Linked DNA regions of Danio rerio. The protein of the gene in region 2 interacts with the protein of the main gene of each other region in a biochemical or structural test. Links are inferred from orthologs where the notes say so. Each region holds a gene or a part of one and is shown on either strand. Other genes may lie near its edges.

The links. The genes of interacting proteins can lie anywhere in the genome.
Region 1: the proteins of myod1 (region 2) and cdk4 form a complex in vitro, tested with the Homo sapiens proteins (2 studies listed by BioGRID). The link is inferred for Danio rerio from reciprocal best matches to the Homo sapiens genes MYOD1 and CDK4.
Region 3: the proteins of myod1 (region 2) and csrp3 form a complex in vitro, tested with the Homo sapiens proteins (2 studies listed by BioGRID and IntAct, with this or other methods). The link is inferred for Danio rerio from reciprocal best matches to the Homo sapiens genes MYOD1 and CSRP3.

The regions. Positions count from the first base shown.
Region 1 is NC_133186.1:160,486-164,687, forward strand, and holds the end of cdk4 (cyclin-dependent kinase 4), read right to left. Parts: intron 3,298-4,202; coding exon 3,080-3,297; intron 2,808-3,079; coding exon 2,672-2,807; intron 1,837-2,671; coding exon 1,669-1,836; intron 1,496-1,668; coding exon 1,386-1,495; intron 1,235-1,385; coding exon 1,184-1,234; intron 1,102-1,183; coding exon 966-1,101; intron 777-965; coding exon 702-776; 3' UTR 570-701; downstream 1-569.
Region 2 is NC_133200.1:33,824,528-33,828,891, reverse strand, and holds myod1 (myoblast determination protein 1 homolog), read left to right. Parts: upstream 1-1,583; 5' UTR 1,584-1,762; coding exon 1,763-2,272; intron 2,273-2,559; coding exon 2,560-2,638; intron 2,639-2,820; coding exon 2,821-3,059; 3' UTR 3,060-3,790; downstream 3,791-4,364. UniProt on the Homo sapiens protein: Acts as a transcriptional activator that promotes transcription of muscle-specific target genes and plays a role in muscle differentiation. Together with MYF5 and MYOG, co-occupies muscle-specific gene promoter core region during myogenesis.
Region 3 is NC_133182.1:16,562,356-16,566,178, forward strand, and holds part of csrp3 (cysteine and glycine-rich protein 3), read right to left. Parts: intron 2,318-3,823; coding exon 2,149-2,317; intron 1,457-2,148; coding exon 1,324-1,456; intron 1,103-1,323; coding exon 1,009-1,102; intron 1-1,008. UniProt on the Homo sapiens protein: Positive regulator of myogenesis. Acts as a cofactor for myogenic bHLH transcription factors such as MYOD1, and probably MYOG and MYF6.

The DNA of each region.
Region 1 (4,202 bases), on a different chromosome or scaffold from region 2:
CATGGGCAGTTTGTTTAGCATGATCGTCATGCAGAGATCCTCCTCTGTGAACACTAATAACATCACACTGATGGAGAACGAGCACTGAAGGGTCAGTTCACCCACAAATCGACATCTACTTAGGGTTATCTCTCCCTCACGGGGTCTTTAACCCATCTTCTGTTAAACATTAAGAAGATATTTAGAAAAATGTTGAACACCAGCAACCATTGACTTATATACTATTTGTTTCTCCTACTTTAGATGTCAATAATTACAACATTTTTCCAAATATCTTCTTTCATGTTGAACAGAAGAGAGAAGCTCCAACAGGTTTCAGACCCCCTGAGGGAGAGATAAGCGCCAGTAGATGTTGATTTGTGGGTGAACTGACCCTTTAAGCCAGCGGAGTCAAACTCAGTTCCTGGAGGGCCGCAGCCCTGCACAGTTCAGCTCCAGCCCTGCTCCAACACACTCACCTGGAGCTTTCAAACAAGCCAGAAGGACTCAATTAGTGTGATCAGCTGTGTTTAATTAGGGGAAAACTAAACTGAGCAGAGCTGCGGCCCTCCAGGAACTGACTTTGACACCCCTGATTTAAGCTCCTCTTCATCACAGAGCAGATGAACACACACACACACACACTCAGGGAATGTTTATCTTCAGTCTGCTGGCTTGTGTGTGTGTGTGTGTGTGTGTGTGTGTGTGTGTGTAGAGCAGCATCACTCGCTGAAGAAGGGATGATCCAGAGCGTTCAGCGCAGAGATCCTCTTCAGCGGGTCGAAGGTCAGCATTTTCTGTCAACACAAGAACACAGAGCTGTCAGCGCGTCTCTCACATCACTCATGCGTTTAGCATCTCCTGCTGAACACGAGCGGTCAGCAGATCCAGGTGACCGATGCAGCATCACTCTCTCCTACAGCGCCCTGCGTCTGAGCTGTGTGTGTTGTGCTCAGGGTTATCTGTCGGTGTGTGTGTAAACGTACCAGCAATAGCTCCGCCCCTTTCTCTGTGATGTCCGGAACGCAGTCTGTGATTGGCCGAGGGCTCTGAGGGCTGAAGTTGTGGTGGGAAAGAGTGACGTCTGTGGGCCACTGATCCTCCGCCGGCAGACCGATCACCCTGAGGGACACACTGATCCGTCAATAACACACCTCATCTCTCTGTGTGAATGTGTGTGTGTGTGTGTGTGTGTTTGACATACGCAAAGATCTTCCCCAGCTGGTCCGCCTCTGAATCTCCGCAGAACAGAGGCCTGAAGAGGAGAATCAGGACAGAATCATCAACTCAAGCTCACAAACCAGAGGACATACAGCAGCAGATCTGCAGCCGCTGACACACACGCGCACGCACGCACGCACGCACGCACGCACACACACACACACACACACTCTGCTGAGACTCACTTGCGTCTGAACATCTCGGCAAAGATGCAGCCGGTGCTCCAGATGTCCACTGGTGTGGCGTATGTGCTCTGCAGGAGCACCTCAGGAGAGCGATACCACAGCGTCACCACCTGACACACACACACACACACACACACACACACACACACACACACACATACACATCAGTATTTGTGTGTCAGCAGTGTGTTCACAGGACATTGTGTGTCTCTGTGTGTGTGTGTGTGTGTGTGTGTGTGTGTGTGTGTGTGTGTGTGTGTGTGTGTGTGTGTGAGTGTCTCACCACCGGGGTCAGTGCCATGTGGCAGCTGTAGATGCGCGCCAGCCCGAAGTCCGCCAGCTTCACCTGCCCTCTGCTGGTCACCAGGATGTTCTCCGGCTTCAGATCCCGATGGAGAACTCGATTAGTGTGCAGGAACGCCAGACCACACAGCAGCTGCTGCATCAGGTCCTACACACACACACACACACGCACACACACACACGCACACACACACACATTACAGGAACGCAAGACAACACAACAACTGCTGCATCAGGACCTGCAGAACACACACACACACTCTCTCTCTCTCCATGTTATTCAGCAGGTGTTATCAGGGAATAACACACTGTTGAAGTGTCAGAAATGACCAATCAGCCCTCCAGACAGCTGTCTAATAAATACAATTAAAGCATGCTGTAATGCTTTATAAAGGATTATGAAGGCCCTGTGATATTGAAATAATGTGAGCATCAGTGTGTTAGTCGTGCTGATATCTATAATATCCAGAAACAGAGACGACATTCACATTGAGCAGATAGAACGTCTGCAGTTTGTCTCGTCCGCCTAAATGGATCAAGCACATCACTTCATACAGCAGTTTCTCATCAAATATCCTGACCAATCACACGCTCTCTCCTGTCTGGCATGCCCCGCCCTCTTCTTCTCATTGGTTGTTCATCTGATGCGCTTGAGCTCAACCACGTTTATACAGATGATGCCATCATTCATCACCGATGGCCGATAGACAACACGATGCTGAGCCGGCATCGCCAATCCTCCACCCCGCCCCGCCCCCATCGCAAACCCGCTCGCAAACAACACATACTCACAAACCCGCTCGCAAACAACACACACTCAGGCCCCGCTTACACTGACACAGCTTACTTTATACATGGCATGCGCTCAGCTGAGAAGACCCCGCTCTGACCAATTAACCCACAATATAACTGAACTATTGGTCAAACAATAAATATTCATGTGTGTGTGTGTGTGTGTGTGTGTGTGTGTGTGTGTGTCTTACTCTGATTTTGTCCACAGGCAGTCCCGGTGCTGGAACTTTCTCCAGGTATGTCCTGAGATCCTGATCCACATGTTCAAACACCAGCGTCACTTTAGTCTCCTGATCCGTCCTGAGGGTCGCGCACACGTCCATCAGCCTGAAACACACACACACACACACACAGATTACACACTTACAAAATGCCTGATCATAGACACACACACCCCGTCATCACGCACAGAGGACGCGACACACAGATTACGAGATCTTTCAGCAAAACAAGAACCTCAAACAAACAGTTGCAGAACTACTACAGTTCTGAAGGAGATCAGTGTGTGTGTGTGTGTGTGTGTGTGTGTGTGTGTGTGTGCCCATGAGTAATTGTGTGTATCAGTGATTGTGTGTGTGTATGTAACTGTGTGTGTGTACCTGACGATGTTGGGATGGTCGAACTGCTCCAGGCGCTTCAGCAGAGCCACCTCTCGAACCGTGGACAGTGGGAGTCCGTCCTGATTGGTCTGCACCCGAACGCTCTTCAGCGCCACAAACTGCCCGCTGTCCCGATCCCGAGCCTTATAGACGGTCCCGTAAGCCCCGCCCCCGATCTCTGCTACTGGCTCATACTGCAGCCCCACCTCCTGCGCCATCTGCAAACACACACACATTACTGTGCCATCACCTGATGCACGCGCACACAAGTTCCTCTGCAGGCATCATTACCTGCACAAACATACACACGCTCACACACCTGTACACACACACACACACACCTGTACATGTGCACACACTGCTGTCAGTATGTGTGTGTGACTCTGCTGTAAGACAGAAACATCAGTTTTAGCTGTATTAAGACAAACCTGCACACACACACACACACACACACACCAGTTTCTCCACATTTACTCAACAGCTCAGTTGTGTGGCGCTGCTGGTTGTGTAAACAGGCCACAAACACACAAACCCAGAGCCTGAAAGCACATCACCATCACTAGAGCCAGAACAACCTCGAACACACTCTGTGTGTGTGTGTGTGTGTGTGTGTGTGTGTGTGTGTGTGTGTGTGTGTGTTAATACGCACACTTTGATTCTCCTCTTTCTTAATATAAGACTTCTCTGATGATCATTAGTGTGACATACAGACATGTAGGCTGTCATTGATCTAAATAAACTGTACACACACACACACACACACACACACACACACACAGTAAAGCAAGCAACACTGCATTTCTGCTGCCCAGCGCTGCACCATTACAACATTTCCCCACAAAAAACTTCCTAAAATGTCAAAAATTGACTTTATTTTTAAACATTTTCCATATTTGAGTGTTTGGTGGATGATGATGACCTGTAATTTACTGCTTCTCACACACAACATGTAAATATATATATATATATTTGGTGCATCAGTAAAGCTGGCCACTGTGCGCTGTTCATCCTCCCTCCTGTTTAATGTTTATAAGTGTGTGATAATTGTAGAAGTGTTTCAGTGAGGTTAACTCTGTGTTCATAGTATAAGAGAGCGTGTTTTTCTTAATAACTGTACATTTTC
Region 2 (4,364 bases):
TTTGGTGACTAAAATGCTATTTTAATAAATAAATCTGTTTAATACATTTTGTTTTGTTTAAATGCACCAAAATACATTGCCAGTATTTACTGTGAAATTGATAAAAATATTCATTTTCGAGATAGGGTGTATTAACTGTATTGTGTGACTGATTTTATTCTGCACCGGTTTTAATAAACATGTTTACATGCCATTTTGTATTTTCTATTAACCCTGTTTTTTTTAACACTATAAAATGAAACAGGGAATTTTATTTTTTATATAATTGTGTCGGTTTTTCAATTATTACTTTGCTGTAGTTGTTATTCAATACATATTTAAATGTATTTTTTATTATATAAAACATTTTGCTGATCCAACTTCAGCAGCATGGATTCTGGCTAAAGACGTATTTGGGGCTTTTGAACAAAATAGTAATTTCATCTGGCTCTTTAACGCCCCCTTTTGTTGGACTGTTATTGAGACTGTCAAGCAGCCAGTGTAAAGAAGGCTAAATAAAGTTGGCCGCATTAAGAATAAATTCTTAAATACATTTTCTTTACCTGATAGACTGATCGTGGTAAATAACCAAATACATTAATCATAAAGTGTCCATTCACTCTCAGAAATAAAGGTACAGGAGCTGTCACTGGGGCAGTACCTTTGCAAAAGATACATACTTGTGCCCAAAGAATCCACAATGGTACCTCAAATGGGGCATATTAGTACGCAAATGTACTTAAAACGCACCCATGAGATACCATTATAAAGCCTTCAAGTGCAAATTTGTACCTTTTGAAAATGTACTGTGACAGCTCATGTTTTTTCTGAGATTGTTGGAAAATAAAATTGAAATGTAATTGCGATTTCTTTACTAAATTATATACGTTTAATGTTGGCTTAATGTAGTTTTCCTTCAGTGTTTCATTAAAATATTTCATACCTAAATTGATCAAGCAATCTTTATCTGTACATTTTGAACACCATGAACTGAAAAGCATGCATAATGTTATTCTGAATTTTTAAACGTGTGAATGTGCGTGTGTATTTAAAAGTAGCTAATTATTGCTCACATTTGTTTGACATTTTCAATGCCGCGCTATGAGGGAAAAACATCCATAAAACAATAAAAACAAAACTAATAATAATTAAAACAACATTTTAAATGTTTGCATTCTCGTATTATTTCTGTTACAAATATATTAGACTTATCAAATTCAGCACTAGTAAATTATACAATTAGAAAATGTATTAATTAGAAATTAGAAACCAATTGGTTGTTTTTTCCATTAACAAGCAAAGTTAAAAGCAAAGCTCATGCTTGAATTTATTTGTAAAGTTGAAATTTGATGGAAAATAAACAAGTAGGCCTAAATGTTAATTTGGTATACAAGCAAATAAAACTTCTATTATTTCTAAGGGAATTTATCATTCTTACATTTTTATAACACAATCATTAGCATCATGCTGTCAAAATCACGCCCCCTTGTTATCGCACATGTTCATTGGTCAGTCTGTCATCTGTAGGACCTCCCCCGACAAGCTGGTGTGTTTATTATCAGGCCCTGATCTCTTACCAGCAACAAGTACCTGAGGGGTACATGCAAAGAAACCCTCCGAGGTCCTGCGAATTTTAGACTGTAGTTTTGAAACGTACGTTATTTCGGGATCTGAAGGACTTTGTCTTACTATTCCTAATTTTGGTTTTTATTTTTTTTACAAATTTACTACTTTGGAAACATTCAAGTACATTTCTTGCTTTTTAAACTTTAACACAAAAAAGATGGAGTTGTCGGATATCCCCTTCCCCATCCCATCAGCTGATGACTTCTACGACGACCCTTGCTTCAACACCAACGACATGCACTTCTTTGAAGACTTGGACCCCAGGCTTGTTCACGTGAGCCTGCTCAAACCCGACGAGCATCACCACATCGAGGACGAGCACGTGAGGGCGCCCAGTGGGCATCATCAGGCCGGCAGGTGCCTACTGTGGGCATGCAAAGCTTGCAAGAGAAAAACTACCAATGCTGACCGTCGCAAAGCCGCCACCATGAGGGAGAGGAGGCGACTGAGCAAGGTCAACGACGCTTTCGAGACCCTCAAGAGATGCACGTCCACCAACCCGAACCAGAGGCTGCCCAAAGTGGAGATTCTGAGAAACGCCATTAGTTATATCGAGTCTCTGCAGGCTCTTCTCAGAAGTCAAGAGGATAACTACTATCCCGTTCTGGAACATTACAGTGGAGACTCTGATGCTTCCAGTCCGAGATCCAACTGCTCTGATGGCATGGTGAGAAACTTATTTTATATACTGAGGCTTTTACATACTATAGCTACAGTATAATTGTGATGTCGCTAAGCCATAAGTCGTTTAGTGTTTACTTGGACAAATAAACTTGGACTTGTTTTTTTGCACTGATTTTGTAATTTAGGATAATTCAGCAACATTATTTTTCAACATTTAAGAGAAAGATGGGAATAATTAAAGATCGCTTGTAAATATTTTATCTCTTGTGTTTGCTGATTTAATTTTCTTTTCAATATAAATATAGATTAAAGTGTCTTTTCGTTTCCCAGATGGATTTTATGGGCCCAACGTGTCAGACGAGAAGACGGAACAGCTATGACAGCTCTTACTTCAATGACACACCAAATGGTAAGTTTGCTCGAAAAATAAAATAAAATAAGTTGGCTGAAAAAATGTTTAACTGTTATGCAAAGTTAAACTATTCTTTTGGATTGAGTTTAAAAGTAAACTATTATGTTTCTAAATTCTCATAGACTAATTTTATTTGAGTTAAAAAAATAAAAATCTTTCTGTTTGTTTGTTTTTTCTAGCTGACGCACGGAATAATAAAAACTCAGTGGTGTCGAGTTTGGATTGTCTGTCCAGCATCGTGGAGCGAATTTCCACAGAGACTCCTGCATGTCCCGTGCTGTCAGTACCGGAGGGGCACGAAGAGAGCCCGTGTTCTCCGCATGAGGGATCTGTCCTGAGTGACACCGGAACCACCGCACCGTCCCCGACCAGCTGCCCTCAACAGCAGGCTCAGGAAACCATTTATCAAGTGCTTTAAAATTCTGCAACATTTCAAAACAAATTGAAAAAGACAATCTGAATGAAGAAACTTTCAGCAGAAAAAGGCGAATCCGACCTTTAACGACAAAAGAAAGACTTTTGATCCACTGCTGGAAACTAGGAAAGAATGCTTTCTTTCTTTCTTTCTTTCTTTCTTTCTTTCTTTCTTTCTTTCTTTCTTTCTTTCTTTCTTTCTTTCTTTCTTTCTTTCTTTCATAGACTAATTCTTTTTTTCTTTCTTTCTTTCTTTCTTTCTTTCTTTCTTTCTTTCTTTTTTTCTTTCTTTCTTTCTTTCTTTCTTTCTTTCTTTCTTTCTTTCTTTCTTTCTTTCTTTCTTTATGCGGTGGAAAATGTAATTCCAATATGAGAAAAGACTCAGCAGATCAGCAGAAGTGAGTTTCTTAACTAAGCTTATTTATATTGTTATATCCACGTGAAAATGTGACCATATTTTTTTCCCTTTGTGAATATATTTTCTGTCACCATCACCTTTTATTTTCCTAATTATTTACGGAAAAAATCGTAATCCAGATACGAATAGTAGGACCATTTTTGTATATGTGTAAATAAGATCTGTTTTGTTAAAGCGACGAAAACGAACAAACATATTATTGTATTTAATGATGCCTGTTTGAAACACTAGTTTGTTGTGTCTTGTGTTAAACTTTATATTTATACTTCTTAAACGAGTGAATGACGGATAAATAAAAACAACTATTTATACTGGAATATCTATGTGATTTGTTGTGATTTATTGGATGTATAAACATTTAGCCTACTGTACACGTGATATATCAATTTGTTGAAATCAAATCGGTTTAGCGTTACACAATAAACAGGCCTGTACAATTTAGATTTATTTATACCTTATTTCACGAGGTTGTAGCTAAAAGTGATATCACAATAAAAAAAAAGTACGCAATTGAAAAATAAGATTATAATCGTTTACATGTTGTTCTGAAACCATTCGAGTTGCAAGAACAATTTAATGCTCCTCAGTATTTGTTTGATTATTATTGCATCTGAATCAAAATAATTTAATCAACTAGCCTTTTATTACAACACAAAAAGGTGTAATAGATTTTTATTTATGTTGAACTGAAGGGAATAGGCATTTTCAAAGAAAATGAAATGCTTGGTCTCTCTTTTTTACATTTCGATGCTTAACCATTTTCATAAAATGATTACGCGTCAAGCAGCATGAATATGTTTAATTCAAATATACAGACCTTTATATTGCACTAACTAAAGTACCAAACGTATGTTTTCGCTGTGATAAAATAGCAGAGCCATTTTAAAAACA
Region 3 (3,823 bases), on a different chromosome or scaffold from region 2:
CCAGTTGATGAATTGCAAATTCAGCTTCTTCCGTATTAGCTTCACAAGTGAGAGCAGGAGGTTGCCGCTTGGCCCATAGGTGTTTATGGAGCTTTTTATGAAGACAGTTAAACCATTGAAGTAACATGGAATGTTTCGGCAATATCTTTGGTTCCTTTTCTGAACTTAAAACATCTCTGGACCCAGGCCCGGATTGGCTAATCGGGAGGACCAGGAGAATTCCCGGTGGGCCGGTCCGTTTTTTGGCCGCGAGGGCCGTTGTCCCTAGCTCCAGAATCTGTTGCTCTCAGCAGTCACACTTAATTTAAATTAATTTATTTATTTACTTGACCACAGTCTTCTTATTCATTATTTAACCGCAGCTCTGCTCTTTTTATGTATAATGATGATATAACTCCGATGGGTCACATCTCAATATACAACTGTTGTGGTCCAGTGGTTAGCATGTTAGATTATGACGCTGCCGACCCGGGTTTAATCCCTGTCTGAGTATGTTTTTTTTTTTTTTATTGTTAAGACATATAATAATGTTAGGGTTGTTGAACATTTGAAGTTCTAAAGCAGCTTTTTTCTCAAAAAAAGACGTGATAGTGTAATTAGAAACTGATTTGGAATGACCTTATTTTAATATAGTCAGTCGTGAACTGAGGTAGGCCGCTCTGAGGCTTGAAACTCCAGGGCTGAAAAGGAGTCCCACTCCGGCCCTGTCTGGACCCCTGATGTCTATGGAGGGTCAGAGAGCTCTGAGGTTTCATCTAAAATGTCTTTGTGTTCCGAAAATGAATGAAGGTCTTGGGAATGTAACGACATGAAGGTGAGTGATTAATAACGCAATTTAAATTTTTGGGTGAACTAACCCTTTATTCACACGGCTACAGTATTTGAGCTGTTGATTGCATCAGTTGTGCTGTAATGGCTGTTGAACATTAACTAGGTCTTTGAAACAGCATCTATTGATCAGTTAAGTGATACTAATGAGATTGAGCAGTTTCCTTTGATTGATTGTACCTTTACAGTAGAGCTCTCCATCTTTATCCGTCACGGTGGTGGACTCCAGGCTCTTCCCGCACAATAAACAGCGGAAGCAGGTTTTGTGCCAGGGCTGTTGGATCAAAAGCAGGTACAGACTGATGAATTACTACTTTACACAGCGCTGACCTGTGACAGCAGCATATTGCAGAAGTGCTGAGGAGGAACAGTTTCTCAGAATCTGCTACGTATTTAGATTAGGTGGTTTATTAATAATATATTTCATATTTTAGCAGTGTATTGTAGCATTAATGCAGCGTCAGCTTCTCAGGGTAATTTTTGCAGTGGTTTTACCTTTCCAGCACCCATGATTTTCTCCGCTGCATAAACAGCTTTAGAGCAGCGAGGACAGCGATCTGTACTCCCGAACTTCTGCGCAAACTTGCTTGAGTTTGAGTTCGCAGGTGCAGGACGTGGAGCTTTGGGCCTTAAAATGTTCAGAACACACACACACACACACACACACACACACACACACATACAGGTTATCTAAATATGGACATCTTAAGATTTCATATACAGCTAGTGTCCGATAGCACAAGTCCAACCCTAAGACAGAGGAGTACTTCATTTTTTTTATTCATACATTAGCATACACGCATTTTAAAGTATACAGTATATACAAATCTGAAGCTAATCTAACAAAATAACTCATGATAACGGTCCAAAATTAGTAGCCCAAATGTATACGAAAAAAAAAAACATTCAAGAGAAAAAAATTTTGTTGAGTTTTTGTAGTTTGTCATTTTTTTTTTTATTTTGCATGAATTTAAATGTATTATCTTTCCATTTCTAAAGATGTTCGGTGACTAAAATATTATTTGAATAAATGTATTGGTTTAGTAAATCTATTTTGTTCAAATACACCAAAATATATGACCTATATTCACTGAGAAATGGTTAAAAATATTCATTTTCAAAATCGGGTGTAGTCAGTTATGTTGAGCACTGTATGTACTGTATCCTTCATAAAAATTGGCATCTCAGTGTAATCAATGTAAAATGATTTTTGCATATGAACATGCATTAAGGGTATAAATCTGTCCTTAAAACTTGGTAAAAGTCAGTTCATGCATAACAAAAAACGTTCAACATTATGAGTGTATTTTGAGGACGTACTCTTGAGGCTGAAGTTCTTCATTATTGACCGGGTCAGAACTCAAAGCTCCAGCACCCTGGCCATACCCATAACCTTTCGGACCATATTTCTTGCCGTAGCAGGTTTTGCAGTATATCTCAGACTCATGTGCGGCAACTGTGGTGCTGTCCAAACCTTTACGACAAACCACTAAAAACAAACAAATCATGCATATATACATTTTTAAATGTTTACCAAATGATGTTTAACAGAGCAAGGAAATTTTCACAGTATGTATTATAATATTTTTTTCTTCTGGAGAAATTCTTATTACTTTTATTTCAGCTAGAATAAAAGCCGTTTTAAATTTTTTTAAAGCCATTTTAAAGTCAAAATTATTAGCCCCTTTAAGCTATATGTTTTTGATAGTCAACAGAACAAACCCATCATTATACAATAACTTGCCTAATTACCCTAACCTGCCTAGTTAACCTAATTAACCTAGTTAAGCCTTTAAATGTCACTAAGCTTTATAGAAGTTTCTTTAAATAATATTAACTGGATACTAGATATTTTTCCTGAATAAAAGCCGTTTTTTAATAATAAAAAATAAAAAACATATTAGCCTAGGGTCAATGTTATTAGCCCCCTTAAGCATTTTGTTTTATTGTCCACAATGCAAACCACTGCTATACAATGACTTGTCGAATTACCCTGACTTGCTTAATTAACCTATTTAAGCCTTTAAATTGCACTTAAAGCTGAACACTAGTATCTTGAAAAATGTCTAGTAAAATATTATGGCGAAAGATAAAAGAAATCAGTTATTAAAAATGTAGTTATTAAAACTAGTATGTTTAGAAATGTGTTGAAATCTTCAACACACACACACACACACACACACATATATATATATATACAGTATATATACACAGTATATTAGTGAAGTAAATTATTTGTATTTTCTTGATTCACAATTAGTGTTGTTGTTGTTTGGCTTCAACAAAAGATAATAAATTGAAAAAAAATATATAATGATAAATAAACAAAATATAAAGGCTAAATAAAATCTATAATCCAATCTTCAGAATTTGGAGACCATTAAATAAACAAACAGAATAAGCAAGTCTAAAGTAATTTAAGGGGAGTCAAATTATACTATTTCTAATATGTCATTTAGATTACCTTATCTATAGTTTGTAATCTAGATTACATTTCTGACATTTTTCATCAGGTAATTTGTAGTCTGTAATACGCAGTCTGATCAACTGTAAACAGCTGTAATTATCAAGTTGTTCTGCTTTTTCGTGTTTCAGTCAAATTATGATATCATTTGTAATCAAATGTTTTGTATTGAACTAAAACAATGCAAAATACAAGTGAATTCACATTTTAATTATAATATATTTATTTATTTACACATTGATTTGTGTTTATAACTAATGATTTTATGTTATTTATTTAATCACTTATTTAAATATTTTGAAATGTTTTTTTTAAGTTACAACTAATAAATAAATAAGCAAAACAACATTTCTGGGATTTCCAGTTTAATGAAAATCTGAGTTTTCTCAGTGATTCAAAACCTTCATTTTCTTTCATCTGCTGAACATAAATGTAGAAAATTTGAAAAATGTAGCAAACCACTGGCCATTGACCTCCATAGTAGAGAAAAAAAAATGTTGAAGTGAATGTATAACCGTTTTTTTTTAACAT